Oryzias latipes: one gene and its partners. The protein of the gene in region 1 purifies or fractionates together with the protein of each later gene. This does not show direct contact. Links are inferred from orthologs where the notes say so. Each region holds a gene or a part of one and is shown on either strand. Other genes may lie near its edges.

Evidence for each region. The genes of interacting proteins can lie anywhere in the genome.
Region 2: the proteins of ambra1 (region 1) and bag5 purify together in Homo sapiens (affinity purification with mass spectrometry, with the first as the bait; 3 studies listed by BioGRID). This does not show direct contact. The link is inferred for Oryzias latipes from reciprocal best matches to the Homo sapiens genes AMBRA1 and BAG5.
Region 3: the proteins of ambra1 (region 1) and nek9 purify together in Homo sapiens (affinity purification with mass spectrometry; 3 studies listed by BioGRID and IntAct, with this or other methods). This does not show direct contact. The link is inferred for Oryzias latipes from reciprocal best matches to the Homo sapiens genes AMBRA1 and NEK9.
Region 4: the proteins of ambra1 (region 1) and hspd1 purify together in Homo sapiens (affinity purification with mass spectrometry, with the first as the bait; 3 studies listed by BioGRID). This does not show direct contact. The link is inferred for Oryzias latipes from reciprocal best matches to the Homo sapiens genes AMBRA1 and HSPD1.

What each region holds. Positions count from the first base shown.
Region 1 is NC_019864.2:26,780,463-26,783,962, forward strand, and holds part of ambra1 (activating molecule in BECN1-regulated autophagy protein 1), read left to right. Parts: intron 1-1,231; 5' UTR 1,232-1,305; coding exon 1,306-1,437; intron 1,438-2,698; coding exon 2,699-2,757; intron 2,758-2,929; coding exon 2,930-3,113; intron 3,114-3,496; coding exon 3,497-3,500. UniProt on the Homo sapiens protein: Substrate-recognition component of a DCX (DDB1-CUL4-X-box) E3 ubiquitin-protein ligase complex involved in cell cycle control and autophagy.
Region 2 is NC_019880.2:21,267,805-21,271,966, reverse strand, and holds the start of bag5 (BAG family molecular chaperone regulator 5), read right to left. Parts: upstream 2,801-4,162; 5' UTR 2,162-2,800; coding exon 2,106-2,161; intron 1,623-2,105; coding exon of another isoform or gene 1,494-1,622; exon of another isoform or gene 1,375-1,493; intron 1,240-1,374; exon of another isoform or gene 756-1,239; coding exon of another isoform or gene 733-755; intron 475-732; exon of another isoform or gene 308-474; coding exon of another isoform or gene 276-307; intron 1-275. Other genes in the region: apopt1 (apoptogenic protein 1, mitochondrial), read left to right, coding at 1,494-1,622, 3,485-3,682. UniProt on the Homo sapiens protein: Co-chaperone for HSP/HSP70 proteins. It functions as a nucleotide-exchange factor promoting the release of ADP from HSP70, thereby activating HSP70-mediated protein refolding.
Region 3 is NC_019880.2:13,219,229-13,223,296, forward strand, and holds the start of nek9 (serine/threonine-protein kinase Nek9), read left to right. Parts: upstream 1-1,268; 5' UTR 1,269-1,549; coding exon 1,550-1,735; intron 1,736-2,229; coding exon 2,230-2,407; intron 2,408-2,477; coding exon 2,478-2,533; intron 2,534-2,616; coding exon 2,617-2,687; intron 2,688-2,770; coding exon 2,771-2,876; intron 2,877-2,984; coding exon 2,985-3,116; intron 3,117-3,203; coding exon 3,204-3,314; intron 3,315-3,389; coding exon 3,390-3,454; intron 3,455-3,799; coding exon 3,800-3,850; intron 3,851-3,919; coding exon 3,920-4,068.
Region 4 is NC_019879.2:154,290-158,549, reverse strand, and holds the start of hspd1 (60 kDa heat shock protein, mitochondrial), read right to left. Parts: upstream 2,801-4,260; 5' UTR 2,689-2,800; intron 1,100-2,688; 5' UTR 1,098-1,099; coding exon 924-1,097; intron 824-923; coding exon 488-823; intron 413-487; coding exon 317-412; intron 103-316; coding exon 9-102; intron 1-8. UniProt on the Homo sapiens protein: Chaperonin implicated in mitochondrial protein import and macromolecular assembly. Together with Hsp10, facilitates the correct folding of imported proteins.

The sequences.
Region 1 (3,500 bases):
AGGTGGGTTAAAATAATTAACGCTTTAACATGCCCGTCATCCTGGTTTGTATACAATATGTGTATAAATGAAGGTATGTTTTTACAATTCTATGTGGAAGGGAAATGAACAGGATTTCTTAATTTTTGGGGGTATTAGGAAGGCGAAGTGTGTTTACTCAAGTCTCCTCCCCCAATTTTTTTGGGACTTGTGAATTTATACATTTATACATATTGCTTGCTTACACAAGTTTCCTTATATTCTAGCATATGTTATACTTTGCAAAAGTTCTTGTTTTCTTTTATTTTTATCACTTGTTCATAATACATGTATGAATGCAATAAGTGCAGCTCCAGATGTTTTGGATCCAGATTGATTTGAACTCTGTCTTCATAGGAAAAACCTCCAGGGATCCATAATGTATTTTTTTTTTTTGTGGGTAAATTAGTCTATTTTTTTAATGCTGTAAGTCGGCAGCAGTCCCAAGTTCCTGGGTTTGTGTGGGTGCGTCACAAACTACTGCTGCAAGGTTTGGTATTACGGCCAGAACCGTGAACCGATTCACAACGTCATGATTTGATAAAATATCAGCCCTTTTAGAAATATCCGTTTTGAGAGCTAATTGAAATTGTAAATGGCGTATACTTGTATAGAGCTTTACTAGCTTCCTAGAAGGCCCGAAGTCCTTCAGTCTCATTCACTTAAGCACACAGACATTCATACGCTACCAAACACTGGTACCAACCTACAACCGCCAGGAGGAATGTAAGGCTCAGTGTCTTGCCAAGGATACTTTGACACACAGGCGGACAGGGCGAGTATTGAACCTGCGATCTCTGTGCTGTTGGGACCTCTTAAGGCGGAAGCAGCTCTAAGTCGGACATGACTTCCCATCAGTCTGTTATTGGTTTAATAAGGATATTTAGAGACGGAGTGAGGTTTGTTTCTTTCCAGGATTACTAGACCGAGCAAAAGCTAAAATGTTTTACCAGATTGTTTCAGTTACTCCTCAGATCAGTTCTGCAGTAGAAAAATTAGGACATATTTGAGTACATCCAGACTTTGTGTTTGCTGAAGCTGACATTCTTCACGAACACTGGGATTTCTCATTCTTCAAAATGAAGAAGTCATCATTTAGACTCCGGGTGGAGTGTAGACTGCATCATATCTACAGAATCCTCTCTTTTTGGCCCAAATACTTTCAGCTCCAGTTTCCATCATATAAACACTGAGCAACCTTTTCTCTTTTTAGCCTAGACTCTGGATGGCGGCGGACAGCAAGCAGCACGAGTGAACAGCCAATCAGCTGAGGCTACCTGAAGCAACATGGCGTCTCGTCATAGGAACTCTGTGCGGATCCTGTACAGCCGAGAGCGGGGGTCCCAGACGGTGGGATCGCAGAGGCTGCTGCAGCTGCTGGTGGAGGAGAAGGTCCGCTGGATGAAATGGCAGAGTCAGGTGGGTTCGGGCTCATATTTAGGAACAAGTTAGTGTAGCTCATGACACAAGTTTCTATTGTTTTTCTGTCTTTTTTTATTTAAAAAAATGTTTTGCTTTTTGAGTATTTTTTTAGACGGCTGCCATAAAATATTACAGTTTAAACTCTTTAGGTCTAATGCGGCGTTCATACCGAACGTCATCAGCGCATCAAATTTCCGTCATCTACCTCTGTTTAGACATGCATCAAAGTGGCTGCTAGACCCTTATCCAAAAATGTGTGCATAAACCTGACGCTCCTGCATGTGTGGGAGAAGCTACTTTTAAAAGTTTATTTCTTCACCTGTGCATAATGAAAGACAGAAGAAAAAAGAGTTGTTAAACACGTCTCCATGAGATCTTTCAGAGACTCTCCCCATACGGTGAAGTTCACCATCTACTGCAGGATCTGCGTCTGAATGACGGCCGCTTTCAGCGCTACTTCTGCCTCTCTGTGACCCAGAATAATGAGTTGCAGTCCTGCATTCGTCAGAGGAAGGAAAAATTAAATTAAGTATAAAATTAGAGGATCTTTTTAAAATATTGTCTCCATATAAATAAGAAAACAGTAAAGTTCAGCAGGAGCACAAACAGCAACATTCTCCTCTATGTTGGTTTTGGACTCCACCCGCTGATCACATCATCAACACGTCATGGGCCAAAGCTGAGTTCCTGATTGATTGACACGATGCAAATTCTTTGCTAAAGTTCAGATATTTTATCTCTGGAAACATTCCCCCCCATGACATGCCCAAAATGCACTGCTTCTAGACCACCGCGTCCTGCCTGATGGCCAAAATATGCAGAATCTCATCGTGTCTGGACATTGACTTAACATTGAAACTGGACGCCTCTGCCAGGCGAGCTGCATTTGTTGTGAACACAGCAGCAAAGCTTCAGCCTCCACAGTGGTAGAAGAGGGTGGGGCACCTCCTGGTGGCCGAGTTCTGCTGCATCGCGATGCTCCAAACATTTTGCTTTTTAACAAGTTTGACATGTATTAACAAAAGAAAATTCAAAGTATAGATAAACAAAGATTAAAATGTAATTTGTGTTTGAAGTTGATTTGTTTTTTCTTTTCTTTTTTTTTAAACTTTTGAGTCAGAAAAAAATGTGAGTTTCTTAGTTTTCTCTGAAGCAAACTTAGATGTCTGTGTGGAAGAGTCTTTATTTATGGTCATAAAGAATGGGTTTTGATGCTTGAACCTGACTGACTGTTACCTGCTGTTCTCTGCTCTAACAGAAGGTGGAGCTGCCTGACAGCCCTCGTTCAACCTTCCTGCTGGCCTTCAGCCCCGACAGGTGAGACTCACTAGTGACACGAGGCTTAAACCTCCTGTGTAAATGATGAGAAAAGAGACGAGTTCCCTCCACCTGCGGATTTTCTTTGACGAGCAGCAAGACTCTTCCTTTGGCCGTCTTTCTCCGAGTTTCCATCTTTGCTGACTGAAGAGCTCCCATGTTCCCCCTGCAGGACTCTGATGGCGTCCACCCACGTCAACCACAACATCTACATCACTGAGGTGAAGACCGGGAAGTGCCTCCACTCTTTGGTGGGCCACAGAAGAACGCCCTGGTGCGTGACCTTCCACCCCACTATTCCCGGGCTGGTGGCCTCTGGGTGCCTTGATGGTGAAGTTCGAATCTGGGACCTGCATGTGAGTATCCGGGTCCAAAGTTCTGGATGTTTGTTAACAGGCTGTGACTGCTGCCATGGCAAAGGACTACGTTTCATTTCAAACCAAGAGGTTTTTTTTAAATCTCTTGGAAGTCAGAAAAGATTTCTGGATTTGTTATGTTGAAGCTTTTTTTGTGTAAAAATTAAATTGTTAAAGCATGTGTGCATGTAAAAAATTTTTCTATTGAAATCGAAAAACCCCTGGTGCATTCATTGGCGCTTTGAAAAGAAAAAAGAAAAATCAAGTTGCTGTCTGCATTAAATCCCTACTTTTCATGAAAACTGAAGAAAACACAACAAAACAAATTAAGTTGTGTAGTTTTAGTGCTCCTGTGCTGTGTTTGACCGCTCCTCCTCCTGCAGGGTG
Region 2 (4,162 bases), on another chromosome or scaffold:
CAGAGGGGAAAGCTGCCAAATCTCAGCATTTATTAGGATAATCGGAGTCCAGTCCCCGCGCGGACGGCCAATCAGCGCGCGCCTCCGTTTGGTTACAGCAGCCAGAGAGGGCCTCTGAGGCGCACGCGGCCGTTCGGAACCCGAACCGGACGCGGTTCAACAGCCGCCCCGCCAACGCTAGTCCCCCGCGGGAAACCCTGCGTGGCCGCTGGCTCTGCGGGCGGACGAGCGTGAAGCCGAACCAGCCCCCCCGCCCCGCCCTGACGCCGCCTCACCTCTTCAGGACTCCGAACACGTTCGCGCACATTCTGAGAGATGTCTGTTTCCATCAGCAGAAAGCAGGCGGCCGGCGAAGCTGGGGAGCAGCCGCGTGCGCAGACAGGAGCCCGCGGAGGTGTCGCGATGCTCCGGCGACCAGCAGACAGACTCTGCCCGCCCGCCTGCAGTCCGGCGGCTGTCGCCCCTCCCACCTCTAAGCCACTACGTCTGCAAACATGGTTTTGTCCCCCCCCCCCCCCCCCTTCTTTTAAAATAAAAAAAACCCCAAACACTTGACCTACACGCGCAGATATTTGACTTCGAAAGATGAAATCCCACCACCGGGTCTTTTTCCAGCCCGTTAACACCGTTGTGAGCTGTCGGTGATCACCTGACTGACTCTGCCCCACCTTGACCGCATAAACTGCGGCTTTACGCCGGCATCTACCCGCCGTTGAACCGCCCCAGTCTTACCTGCATAACCAGCGAACAGCCATGTACCCCGCTGCGAAGGAAAAGCCCCAAACCTTCTGTTGAAGATCAACATTAGCCCGCCTAGCTGCACCTTCACGGACTTACTTTCCCGTCTCAGCCTCGCCACTATAGTTTCACGGAGTTCGATTGTTTCGCTGAATCTACCCTCCCACTTCGTATTTTAATCAATATTTCAATCTCTGAGTGTAACCAACAGCTACAACTATATCTGTACACATTCCTAACACTTTGGTTAATCTTGTTGGTCATTATCTCGTTTAATAATGAAGCTTTTATCAGTTCAGACGCAGGGAAGGTTGTTGTCGGCCAACAGCGAGTGCGCTCCATTTAATCACCAACTCTGTGCGGAGACAAACTCGACCCGTTTTGTTTATGTTTTATTTCGTTATCGCTTCTGATAAAACATAAATATAGCAGTGTTTTTAAATAACGTACTCAAAACGTAGTTTGTAGCTTTGGTACTTGAAGCTTTTGCGATGAAAAGTTTTGACAGTATCTTTCTAGAAATATGTTTTATTTAGAGTTTAGTTTGAAACCTCATCTGCTCCGAACCCGTCGGGCAGAGACTTGACTAACGGCTTGCGAAGGTGCTGTTTCCGAGCGTCTCTAGCCGTTTTTTGCAGCTCACGTGACCACCTGTCCTACATCCTCGCGGAAGGACATACAGTTGGGAGACATGGGTTGTTCGCCACCGTTGCGTGTTTAGCTTTTCTGCGTGACAGTGCCTTGATTTTGCGGGAATGACATTCGGGGCAGCTGGACGCTTGTCGTGGAGGAGCGCGCGGAACTCCCGCGTGCAACTGCTGGATGTAAACATCCGGCGCAACGGCTCTAATAATCCAACGAGCCAACAGGATAAAGCCGCCAAGGTGCGCGCGCCGCCGCAGTCCGTTCCGCGTTGGTGTTTTTATCCCAGGCTCCGTGCTCACATTACCGGAGGAATCAGAAACGCTGAGGTTCTGATCCTGCTGTGAAAACCAAGATAACGACGCATGCGCACTAGGTCTGCACAGCCAAAAAGTCTAATTGACCTGCAGGTTACTGACTGGCTGAACTAAACATGGCTTTAACCAACTCCTTCTATGTTTAGTGCTGCTTAGGCCTAACGGACAGGCTTTTCATCAGCAACCATGAGAGATTTTCACGTCATCTGGTTCTGAAGTTTCATTTAACGGCTCTAGATCCTCACAGAAAGGCTGCGAGAATCAAAAGACACCAGTAGAACCCATCTGTAACAGCTGTCAGTGGGTTTGTTTGGGCTAATGTTTCTGATTCACTGTAGTAAATGTAACCGTAATGATGAAGAAAGTCCAAAGACTTCTGCAGCTGAAGGTAGTGATGTCATAACGCACCTTTTTTCAGGCCTCTGGGTCCTGGATGGAGTCTTCCTCCTCCCTGCTCTCCTCATGCCTGCTCTCCTCCGTGCTCTTCTCCTGCTGCCGTCTGCTCTGCACTGATAAGCAGATGCCTCCAGTTAGACTGCAGGGCCTCCTGCATCCCTCCTGCAGGGCCTCCTGCATCCCTCCTGCTGCCCTCCTGCAGGGCCTCCTGCTGACCCACCTCAGCCCCAAACCGTAGGAACCTGAAGCGCCAGAGTCTGATGGATTCTGTTGGTTATTCTTAGATGCGTTCACATGCTTTGGCCCGGTTAAAATGGGTTTTCTGGAGTCCTCTGGTTCCCTCTGCATCATGCCTGGGGGGCCGTCCCATCAAAAACCCTCAGACTGCGCTGGCTCCAAAGGGCCATCAAAGCTGCAGACCTATTCTGGATTTTAAGTCTGGCCTTCTAATCAGAAATTCATGTACAAATGTATTTAGATAGAATTCTCTTTTATGTGAAGAAATAGGAAGAGTCCAATTGCCATAATAATGTTCATAGTTTATTTGCTTTTAATGCATTGAATAGTTGGCCCTCTTTGAAAAAGAGTTTCCTGAAAAAAGCAAACAGTTGTTGGTTGATCTTCTCCTAAAGTTCTCCACTGTTGTTTTTCCACATCCAAAGAATCCAAAGGGAACATTCTTAGAACATTCTAGACACTGGATGGTCGCATGACTTTATTCAAAGTCTGTCCACACATTGGACTGGAATGATGGACTGATCCGTGTTAATGACATCACATGTGTGTTGCTGTGATTGGGCGGTTTGACCTTATAGTCAAATAAACCTACTGTACCTCAATCTAAATGGTATTTTCCAAGATCAATATAATCGATTTTAACGATTTTTTTAATGGTAGAGGTCAATTGGAATTGATTACCCTCTTGGCTCAGACAGATCGATCTGGTGGGACAAATTAATTCATTGTTAGTTATCTTTTTGACTTGTCTCTGTGTTTTTAACTCTGGGGGAATCCACAGGATCAACTTTAGCTCTATGGTTTTTATTTATTTCTTTTTCTCTCTAGTTTTTCCTTTATTTTTAGGTTTTCATTTGAAGTTTTTTTTGGTTGCTGTTAATTGCTGCTTTCCAAAATGAAGAAACAAAATCAAATTTGCTTAATTACCTTTAAAAGCCCTGAAAAAAAAATGGTTGCTGGGTTCTCCAGGGTTAAACGAACACCTTTTTCTGGTGTTTTATTTTCTTTTTTTTTTTTACATTTTTTTGGTCACTTGTAAAGTCCATCTTTGGACAAATGCTGCAAACATTAGGATGTGGGCATGGGACTGCGGTTTGCAGTCCATCTGTTCTTAGTAAATACGTTTAATTATTGTTCATATTTCCATTTTTCAGCGGACACCTTTGAGACCGGAGCCCAGCTCTACACATGACTGGATCGGCCCCCCGAACCCGCTGTCCAACCTGCGGCCGATCATCTACCGCATCCCTGAGGAGGAGTCGGAGCTGGAAAAGAGGCTGAGAAACCTGAGGCAGGAGACGGAGGACTGGAACCACAAGTTCTGGACCCAGCAGAACCTCAACTTCAGCCAGGTTGAAACCAACATTTTTTACAAGTGTGCCATCCTGTCCAGACGAGGTTTTCAGGTTCCTCGTTTCCCGACATGCATTCAGGAACATCTCGGCATCGGTGGGAGCTGCAGGACACGTGACACGTCCTTCCTCGGTTAAAACGTCCTCCCCCACACAACGGGGTCCAACATGGCTGGACTGACAGCAGTCGCTCCTAAAAACCAGCATCAGGAAAACTGATGCTTGTGTTAAAGCAAACAAAACACCGATTTGACGTTCCTCTGGGCCGCTCACTTTAAAAAGCACTTTAACTCATTTTATCAGTGAATAACAATATTGTGAAAACCTTACATATAATAAATAAAGAAGAGCAGGACTTGAGTGACACTGCTGGTTTTTTAAATCAGTTATTTTGTCCTGTGTGTGTCGGTATTTGAGATTCACCACCAGAGGGCAGCAACGCGCTTCCTGCACAGGATTTCTGCAGAGCATCCAAAAGCA
Region 3 (4,068 bases), on another chromosome or scaffold:
AATAGACTAAATTTTGAAAACAATTATTTGTGTAATAATTGAACATAACAATGACAAGATACAAACTCCAGCAGAGGATCAACATACTAGGACACAAGTACAGACAATGATACAGTCTGAACTGATCAACACATTCTGTTACTGATTGCTTTCAGAAGGAAAATAAGAGAACAACATAAATACAATAAGATAAAACAGATAATTAAATAAAACAAAACGGGAGCCTAATGGCACAGGAAACTAAATAGAATAACAGCAAGGAAATTTGTTCAGAGATTTATTTAGCAGATTCTCAGGATTGTAATATTTTCAATTATCACAATCCCTGCAACAGTGGATATAGTATAAGTAAAATTACATTAGCAATATGTTAGAATTATCTAAATTTTCCATGAACAATATTACATCAGCAATCCAAAAAGGGGGAATGTTTAGTTTTAGATTAATCCAATTCCATATAAGTCCAGAAATCCTTGCATGAAAAAATGCAGAATGAAGAAATGTTCCAAAGTTTCATTACAAAAAAGTGCAAGGTTCCACATCCAATTTAAATCTGCTTTAAGAAATTCAGAGACAGGGTGGAATTTTATTATTACTTTAAAAGGAGTTTCTTTTATTTGGAGCAGTACAGGCCATCTAACGTATTTTGAATGTGCTTTAACTAATGCAGGTTGACAGTTTAAATTAGGAAGTGATCTAAAGCAAGCTCGATTGTGGACATGATATATTCTTTCCTTCATATTTTATAGTTGTTCAAAAAAAATGTTTGAGTTTTTTTTTCTTTAGGGGAGCAGGTGAGATAGTATTTATCCGTAAAAGATGTAAACAAGTCAAAATATTTCTTTCAGTCAGTTAAATCTTTTACAAAAAAAGCAAACCTGTCAATCCAGTCCTGTTTCAATATAGATTTTCTGCCAACTGATACTGTTCAGTTATTCCGTATTGACTACAAGACAGCGACAGACGATCATTTCCGGGTTCATGCATCGAGAACAACAAACTACCGCTTTCAAAAAATTGACTTATTTCATTATTTTCCCCTCCTTTTACGTTTGATTTATACAAATGTTGCACTTTTGTGTACATTGTAGGGTATGTCTAACTTCAGAATGTTAATACCAGACGTAGTTTGCCTTTAGTTTCCATCAAGTTATCGGTCGCAACGTAGTGACGTTCCGGAAATACATTTCGCACCCTTTCGCCGTAGAACACCCTCCGACAAATACATTAAGGCAGTCTTTTATGTTGAAAATTCAGAAATAAATTGCCGAAGAGTCGTTTTCCTTTTATAATTTACTTGACATTTGTCTGTCTCCTTTAGTTGCACGCATTTCTTTAAACGTTATGTTTGTGTAACTTTATATACCTCAAGTGCCTTTGAGTAATCCTGTTTACTCGTACTTTGACAGGTCTTCTGTTAGCCGACTGTGTAAACATGTCGTACGTGTGCACGAGCTTATTATAGGAGCGACTCTGAAAGTGTTGTTGTAGGCCTTTCGAGGTATTTTCATCCCTGCTCTTGGCTAACAGCAAACCCCCTCATCAGAAAATGTCAGTGCAGGAATATGAGCGGCATTTCGAGTCGCTAAATTCGGATTTAGGCGGCGAGTCTGTGGGCAGTGAGCGGTCATCTTCTGGGACGTTTTATGGCGAAGAGGAGAAGTTACACTACATTCCTATCCGGATCCTGGGGAGGGGGGCGTTTGGGGAAGCGACTCTGTACAGAAGAACTGAGGTAAGCTAGGTGCTACTGCTATTTTATTAGAATATTTTTAAAATAAAAGTAAATGAAAGTTAGTTGAATTGTAATACATTTTCTTTAATTGGTCCTTTTTGTTGTTTTTTTTTTGTTGGGATAAAATAAAATGTAAATATTTCCTTTTTTCCACCGCTGTGAAAAAGCAAGATTTTTGACCCTATCATTGTAAATTAATTTATCATTAACATTTTCTTTGGTGAATTTAAATTAAAATTGATTATTTTCTTTTTATAGATTATCTAATAGTTAATTTTAAAAATAACTTATTATTTAATAGTGTCCTATTTATGTGGTTTTAGTATTGTATTTTGATAAGCATAATCCTGCAAATATAGTGTGATATTGAGCATTAGTGTTTGTTTTGACTGGTTATTATGTGTACACAACCTGTTATTTAGATTCTTGATTCAAAATTATTCACGAACCCTGTGATAGAATAGTCTCTAATTTTCCGTTGTCTTTTGTCTTAGGATAATTCCTTGGTGGTGTGGAAAGAGGTGGACTTGAACTCGCTCTCAGAGAAGGAACGTCGAGATGTCATGAATGAAATCAACATCCTCTCCGTGTTGGAGCACAACAACATCATAGCTTACTTCAACCACTTTATGGACAAAAACTCTCTGCTCATTGAGTTGGAGTATTGCAACGGTACGTCTGATCGTCCACCTTCTTGTTTCCTTTCAAGGATTTGCTACAGGGAATGCTTTTGTCCTGACAGGAGGAAATTTGTACGATAAAATCGTCCAGCAGAAAGGAGTTCCCTTTTCCGAGAAGGTATGAGCGCGGTGTAGGCTTTTGATTGATCTAAATTTCTTTTGTTTTACTTTTCTACGATCGTTTGTGCCTTTTAATCCTAGGTAGTGGTATGGTACCTCTATCAAATTGCTTCAGCAGTGGCCTACATTCACAAAGCTGGGATCTTACACAGGTAACGTTCATGCAAGGAACCCAAGTTTGTGTTTTCAAACAATTGTGTTTTAAATATGTTTACTTTTTTCCCGCCGTTTGCAGAGATATCAAAACTTTGAACATTTTCCTGACCAAGACAGACCTCATCAAGCTGGGGGATTATGGCCTTGCAAAGAAGCTGGACTCTGAGTTTTCAATGGCAGAGACAGTAAGGATGTGGATGAGTAAACATTGGATTTAAACGCCCTACATAACGTTAAAAGAATTCCTTGGTAGTAATTCTTGTATCAATTTTTGTCTTCTTTTGTGTTTCCAGTGTGTAGGAACTCCATATTACATGTCACCTGAATTGTGCCAGGGAGCAAAGTACAACTTCAAATCCGACATTTGGGCTATGGGTTGTGTCCTTTATGAAGTCTTAACTCTAAAAAGAACATTTGATGCAACAGTGAGTTTGACTGGATTTTCATAAACTGTTCCATCCTCTTTTTCTTGCTTACTTAAATGCATTTCTGCAACTCCTGTGTTTGCACAGAACCCGTTAAACCTCTGTGTTAAAATAGTCCAAGGCAACTGGACTATGGAAGGGGTCTCTGACATTTATTCGTCCGGACTGTTGAAGCTGGTGTACGAGTGTCTGCATCAGGTAAGAGCGAGGATCAGTTCTGCAGGGAAAACAGCGTTTACCTCTGAGCGGCAGTTCACTTCTTTTTACTTACAGGATCCTGCAAAAAGGCCAACAGCTGAGCACATTCTGGACCAGCCTTCCATCTCCTGCTGCAGACAGTGAGAGTATTTCTATTTTTATACTTTTGGAAACGACGACGGAGTTTTAGGGCCAGTTTACAAACAAGTTTTTTAATTTTTTTTTGTTTTGAATTTAAAGTCGTTTATTTACGACTTAAAATCTCGTAAATTTGCAAGAAAAAGTCACAAATTGACGAGAAAAAACACCAAAGTTGTCTGTTTATCGGAGCCTAGCTTGAAGATGAAAGATGTGGAGCCTTTAGAGAAGCTTTATTTCCAGATAGGTTTCAAAATTGTAATTTTTTTTTTTTTGGTGGCCCTAAAACTCTGTCGTAGGAAAACATCCCTTTTTTTATTTGTCGCATTTGCTTCATTTTCTTTCAGGGAGCTTGAGGAGCAAGTTGTCTTGCTGAATTCATCAATGAAGAGACCAAAGTTAGTAATTTTTTTTTAAATGAATGTTATATACAGGTAATATGTAACCAACTGACTTTTATGGTATAGATTAAATCCAGTGTCGGAGAGTTCCATTGCCGTGGTGACACGTTCAAGGGAGGTGTACTATTGGGGAGGAGGGAAGTTTACCCCCCAAAAACTTGACTCATTCAAAGCAGGCAGCGGGGCCCAGCATGTGTGTGCAGGAGAGAATCATT
Region 4 (4,260 bases), on another chromosome or scaffold:
AGCCTTACCTTTGGCGGTGTTGATGAAGTAGGGAGAGATGTAACCGCGGTCAAACTTCATGCCCTCGATGATCTCCAGCTCGTCCTGCAGCGTTTTCCCGTCCTGCGGCAGAAGGAATGAATGTTAACCAGAAAGCTTCTAGACGCCGTCAAAGGTTGGACAATGAGGACACAGGAAGTCCTCTCAGAGGCTTTGGTCCAACCCCCCATGTATGGACGCAGAACGTGCTGCCATCATTTGCCACATAACGGTCATCCAGAACCGGAGGATGTTCTCCACTCCGGTGGGTGGACTCCTCGCAGCCCCTCCCCCTCACCTTCACGGTGATGACTCCTTTGCGGCCCACTTTCTTCATTGCGTTGGAGATGATGTTTCCGATCTCCGTGTCTCCATTGGCTGAGATGGTTGCGACCTGAAACGACACGCGTGATGAGTGAGGGTGACCGTGTGGAGACGGCGTCAGGACAACCGGATGCCCTTCCCAGACCTGTGCGATCTCCTCTGGGGTGGTGACGGGCTTGGAGAGTCTCTGCAGCTCGCCGATGACCGCCTCCACCGCCATCATGACGCCGCGGCGGATCTCCACAGGGTTTGCACCTTTGCTGATGTTGTCGAAGCCCTCCTTGGCGATGGCTCTGGCCAGCACCGTGGCGGTGGTGGTGCCATCGCCAGCCTCCTCGTTGGTGTTGTTTGCCACATCCTGCACCAGCCTGGCACCGATGTTCTTGTACTTGTCCTTCAGATCGATGCTCTTGGCCACCGTCACGCCGTCCTTGGTGACCTTGGGGCTGCCCCAGCTCTGCTCGATGATGACAGTGCGTCCCTGGACCGGGAAGACGATGCTTAAAACATTCGACTGGAGCACTTTCACACCTTTCCTGTTCTGTTTCCAAACCTAATCCACCCGTCAGCGGGTTTGTTACCTTTGGGCCCATGGTGACGGCCACAGCATCCGCCAACAGGTCCACCCCCTGCAGCATGAGCGCCCGAGCGTCCGCCCCGAACTTCACGTCCTTGGCGTAGGCCCGTGTGAGATGAGGGGCCAGCGCCCGGCTCACGGGCCTCACCTGCCTCATGACTGTCGCTAAACGAAACATCTCTGTGGAGAAAAGCAGTGAAGCCATTGAGGATCCTACAGGACCAGCAGTACCGCCCGGTGGTCACCAGTGGAATTACAGTGAGCGGGAACTTAAGCAAACCCACGTGACACGCAGCATCTAAGCATCCTTAAGATGCAGACTGAGCACAAGCAAGCAGTTAATTTTTACCAGAAACATCATCTGAAACTGGGAATTTGTGACCAAGTTCAGAACATCCTGCTTAAATTGTGGGGGGAGAGGAAAGTAACTTCATCTGTGCTGCATGTCTGTCTTGTGTCTGCAGCATATTTGACAACAAAGCTGACTTTGACTTGTTTCTCCTCAGTCGGCCTGATCTTGGTTCAGCAGCATTTCAAACTGTAACAAGCGGGTCACACTCATTTTCACTGAGGGCCACATCAGCATAGTGTCTGTCCTCAAAGGGCCAGATGTAACTTATACATGTAACTAAATGTAATGAAAATAAATGCAACTACTCCTTAATGATAAATAACTCATTATTTATTTATTATAACTTTTTAAATTGACAATTCCAGCTGCATAGAAAACATATGTTTGCTTGTTATTCTAACACAAATCCTTTTACATTTGATTCTGTCAGGTTAGGTTATGTGGACAGTGTTTAAGTCCTGATGTATAGATGACCAATCCAACATTTAAATCCAATTCCCCCCAGATATGAATAAATACACACCAATGTTTATTTTTTATTCCAAGAAATTAAACACCTTTATGTTCTCGTGGGCCACATAAAATGACACGGAGGGCCACATTTGGCCCCCGGGCCTTGAGGTTGACACATGCTGTAGACGGTCAGGTTAAAGCCAGAAACGCTCCACCATCATCAGCTCCAATGGAGCATCCAGAACCCAGCCCGACATTCCCGCAGCTTCCATGCGTCCAGACGGGAGGAGGTAAGGGGGCGGAGTCAAGGACACGGCCTCGGGCCCGAACTTCTGATTGGTGGAGTATAACTGATGGGACCCTCCAAGCTGCCTCTCATTCATTCCTACGGTGACAGATCTGCTACCATTTCCTCAAACACGCCTTTTAAAATGACCGAAATACCAAAAGATAAACTTTAGTTTCCAGAACAACAGCGGCTGTTACAGTTTTCGGAATAATAATTGCAGCTTATTTCATTCAAATGAAGCTTTTCATGAATAAAGGATTCTTAACCCCTCCTGGGGGCACTAGAACCTGGTCCTACCGGGTAACGCCTGGTGAGAACCAGTCTGAGGGGTTATTAAAGCCCCACATGCCCCGCAGTCTGCTCACAGCCCCCGGTTCCCCACGTGAGCTCCTCCGGTCGTACGTCACAAGGTCAAACGTTAGAGCTCGTGCCGGCTCCCTGGACGGATTCCCTCAGCCGCTCCAGAGTAACGGGATTACACGGGGGTAACTGAGTATTTGACACGTCCCTGCCGCGGTCCCGGAATCATCAGGACGAACCGGTCCGCATACGCCAGAACCGGCTGTTCAGACAAACCCGAGCTCGGTTCTGTTCGGTTCTCCACGCACCGACAGGACAAAGTGCCGCGCGCGCAGAGACGGATCCCTGCTGCGGGTTCGGACGGTCGGTTCTTACCTGACAGGGAACCGCTGCGATCTGCCGCACGCGCTGCACGAGTGATCTAACGGAGAATACCGCACGTGGGGAATCACATCCGGGTTATGTACGGCCCCGCCCAGAACTCTGTATGACGCATAACTACTTCAATAAAACTTCTCTTTTACGTTCAAGTTGTTATCCCCGTCTTTAATCTTCATGGAGACGTTTATTCATACCTGCGCAGAATGTTCTGATCATTTATTCTCACATGAACTTTGTTACAACTAACAGAGAAACGCAGCAACGCACACTTATGCTGGTTCCTGGGCTACGATTCCAGAATTTTCCGTACCCCATTGGAGGAAAAAAAAGAGGTCAAAGGTCACATTGTGCAACATTGCGCGAGCCCGTAGAGAGTGACTTTGAAACGAAATCACCGTTTCAATGACAAATGCGGCCTAGATAGACCGGAACTGTAGGTACGGGTCTGCCTGCAGCCCCGCTGTTCTGGAGCTTTCTGTCAGCGCCTCGTTACTGCGCATGCGCGATCTGGAGGCTTCCCTCACGTGGAGACAAAGTGCAGACGGTCCGAAGCTCTCTCAGTGAAGACGTGCAGCTCTGCGCAAGCGCTCAAAAATGGTGAGGAGAGAGAAAATGATGGGATTTCTGGTTGTTTACAGCATTTAACGTCTGTCTCTGTTAGCGCGCGGGGGGGGGGGGGGGGGGGTAGTGATTGGGCTAACGATGATGACCACCACGCGCAAGGTCACGCGTCCGGTGTGCTATCCGCCGGTTCCGTTAAACCAGCTCCGTGCACTGCGCCCCATTCAGCTTATGGGACGGCGTTCGGCGCGGCGTGCCTTGCTCAAGGACACTTCCATAAGACACCGACCAGCTGCTGAACCGCGTCATCGGGTTAGCCTGGAGTGGATCGGGTTAGAAGCGAGTCAAAGACCACAGCAGCCCACGTGCTTCTTTTTTCAGACTGCGGGATCAACACCGTGAATATCTTAAGGACAGTAGTGCGTGTACACGGATGTGCGTGCACGTGTCCTGCTGGTCACCTGGTCAGGTGTGTTTAGCCAATAAGGAGCTTGAGCGGCAGGTTGGTTAGAACATGTAGGACACCGGCCCTCCAGGCCTGGATTTGGGGCCCCTGCTCTGGAGGGTCCTCGGCCTGTGGGACCTCTTCCTGGGGTCCAGGTGCTGCTCCAGGGCGCCACCTGCTGTCGGGTTTGGATGCCGTGGATGCCTGCTGTGGTTTTTGGGTGGTTCGGCCCGGTTCTCCTCTCGGTTCGGGTCAGTTTTAGTCTGGTCGGGGGGTGTCTTAAAGTCGGACCTCTTCTCTCTGAGTTTCCCTCTGACGTAGGTCGGATTCAGACTCGGGTTTGAAGGTTTCATTGCGTCTTCATGCAGTTCTGCTGTGGGGGCGGGACGGTTGATGAGCCGGCTCCTCCGTGTTTGGGTCGGGCAGCATGGGTGGAGCCTGTGGAGACTGGAATGAGCCGGAGAGGCTGTTTGCTCAGGATCTGGGGGGGGGGGTGTCCTCGGCCTGCCTGCTCTCAGGGTAAACGGGCTCATCCAACGGCAGCATCCGGCTGAAGGACG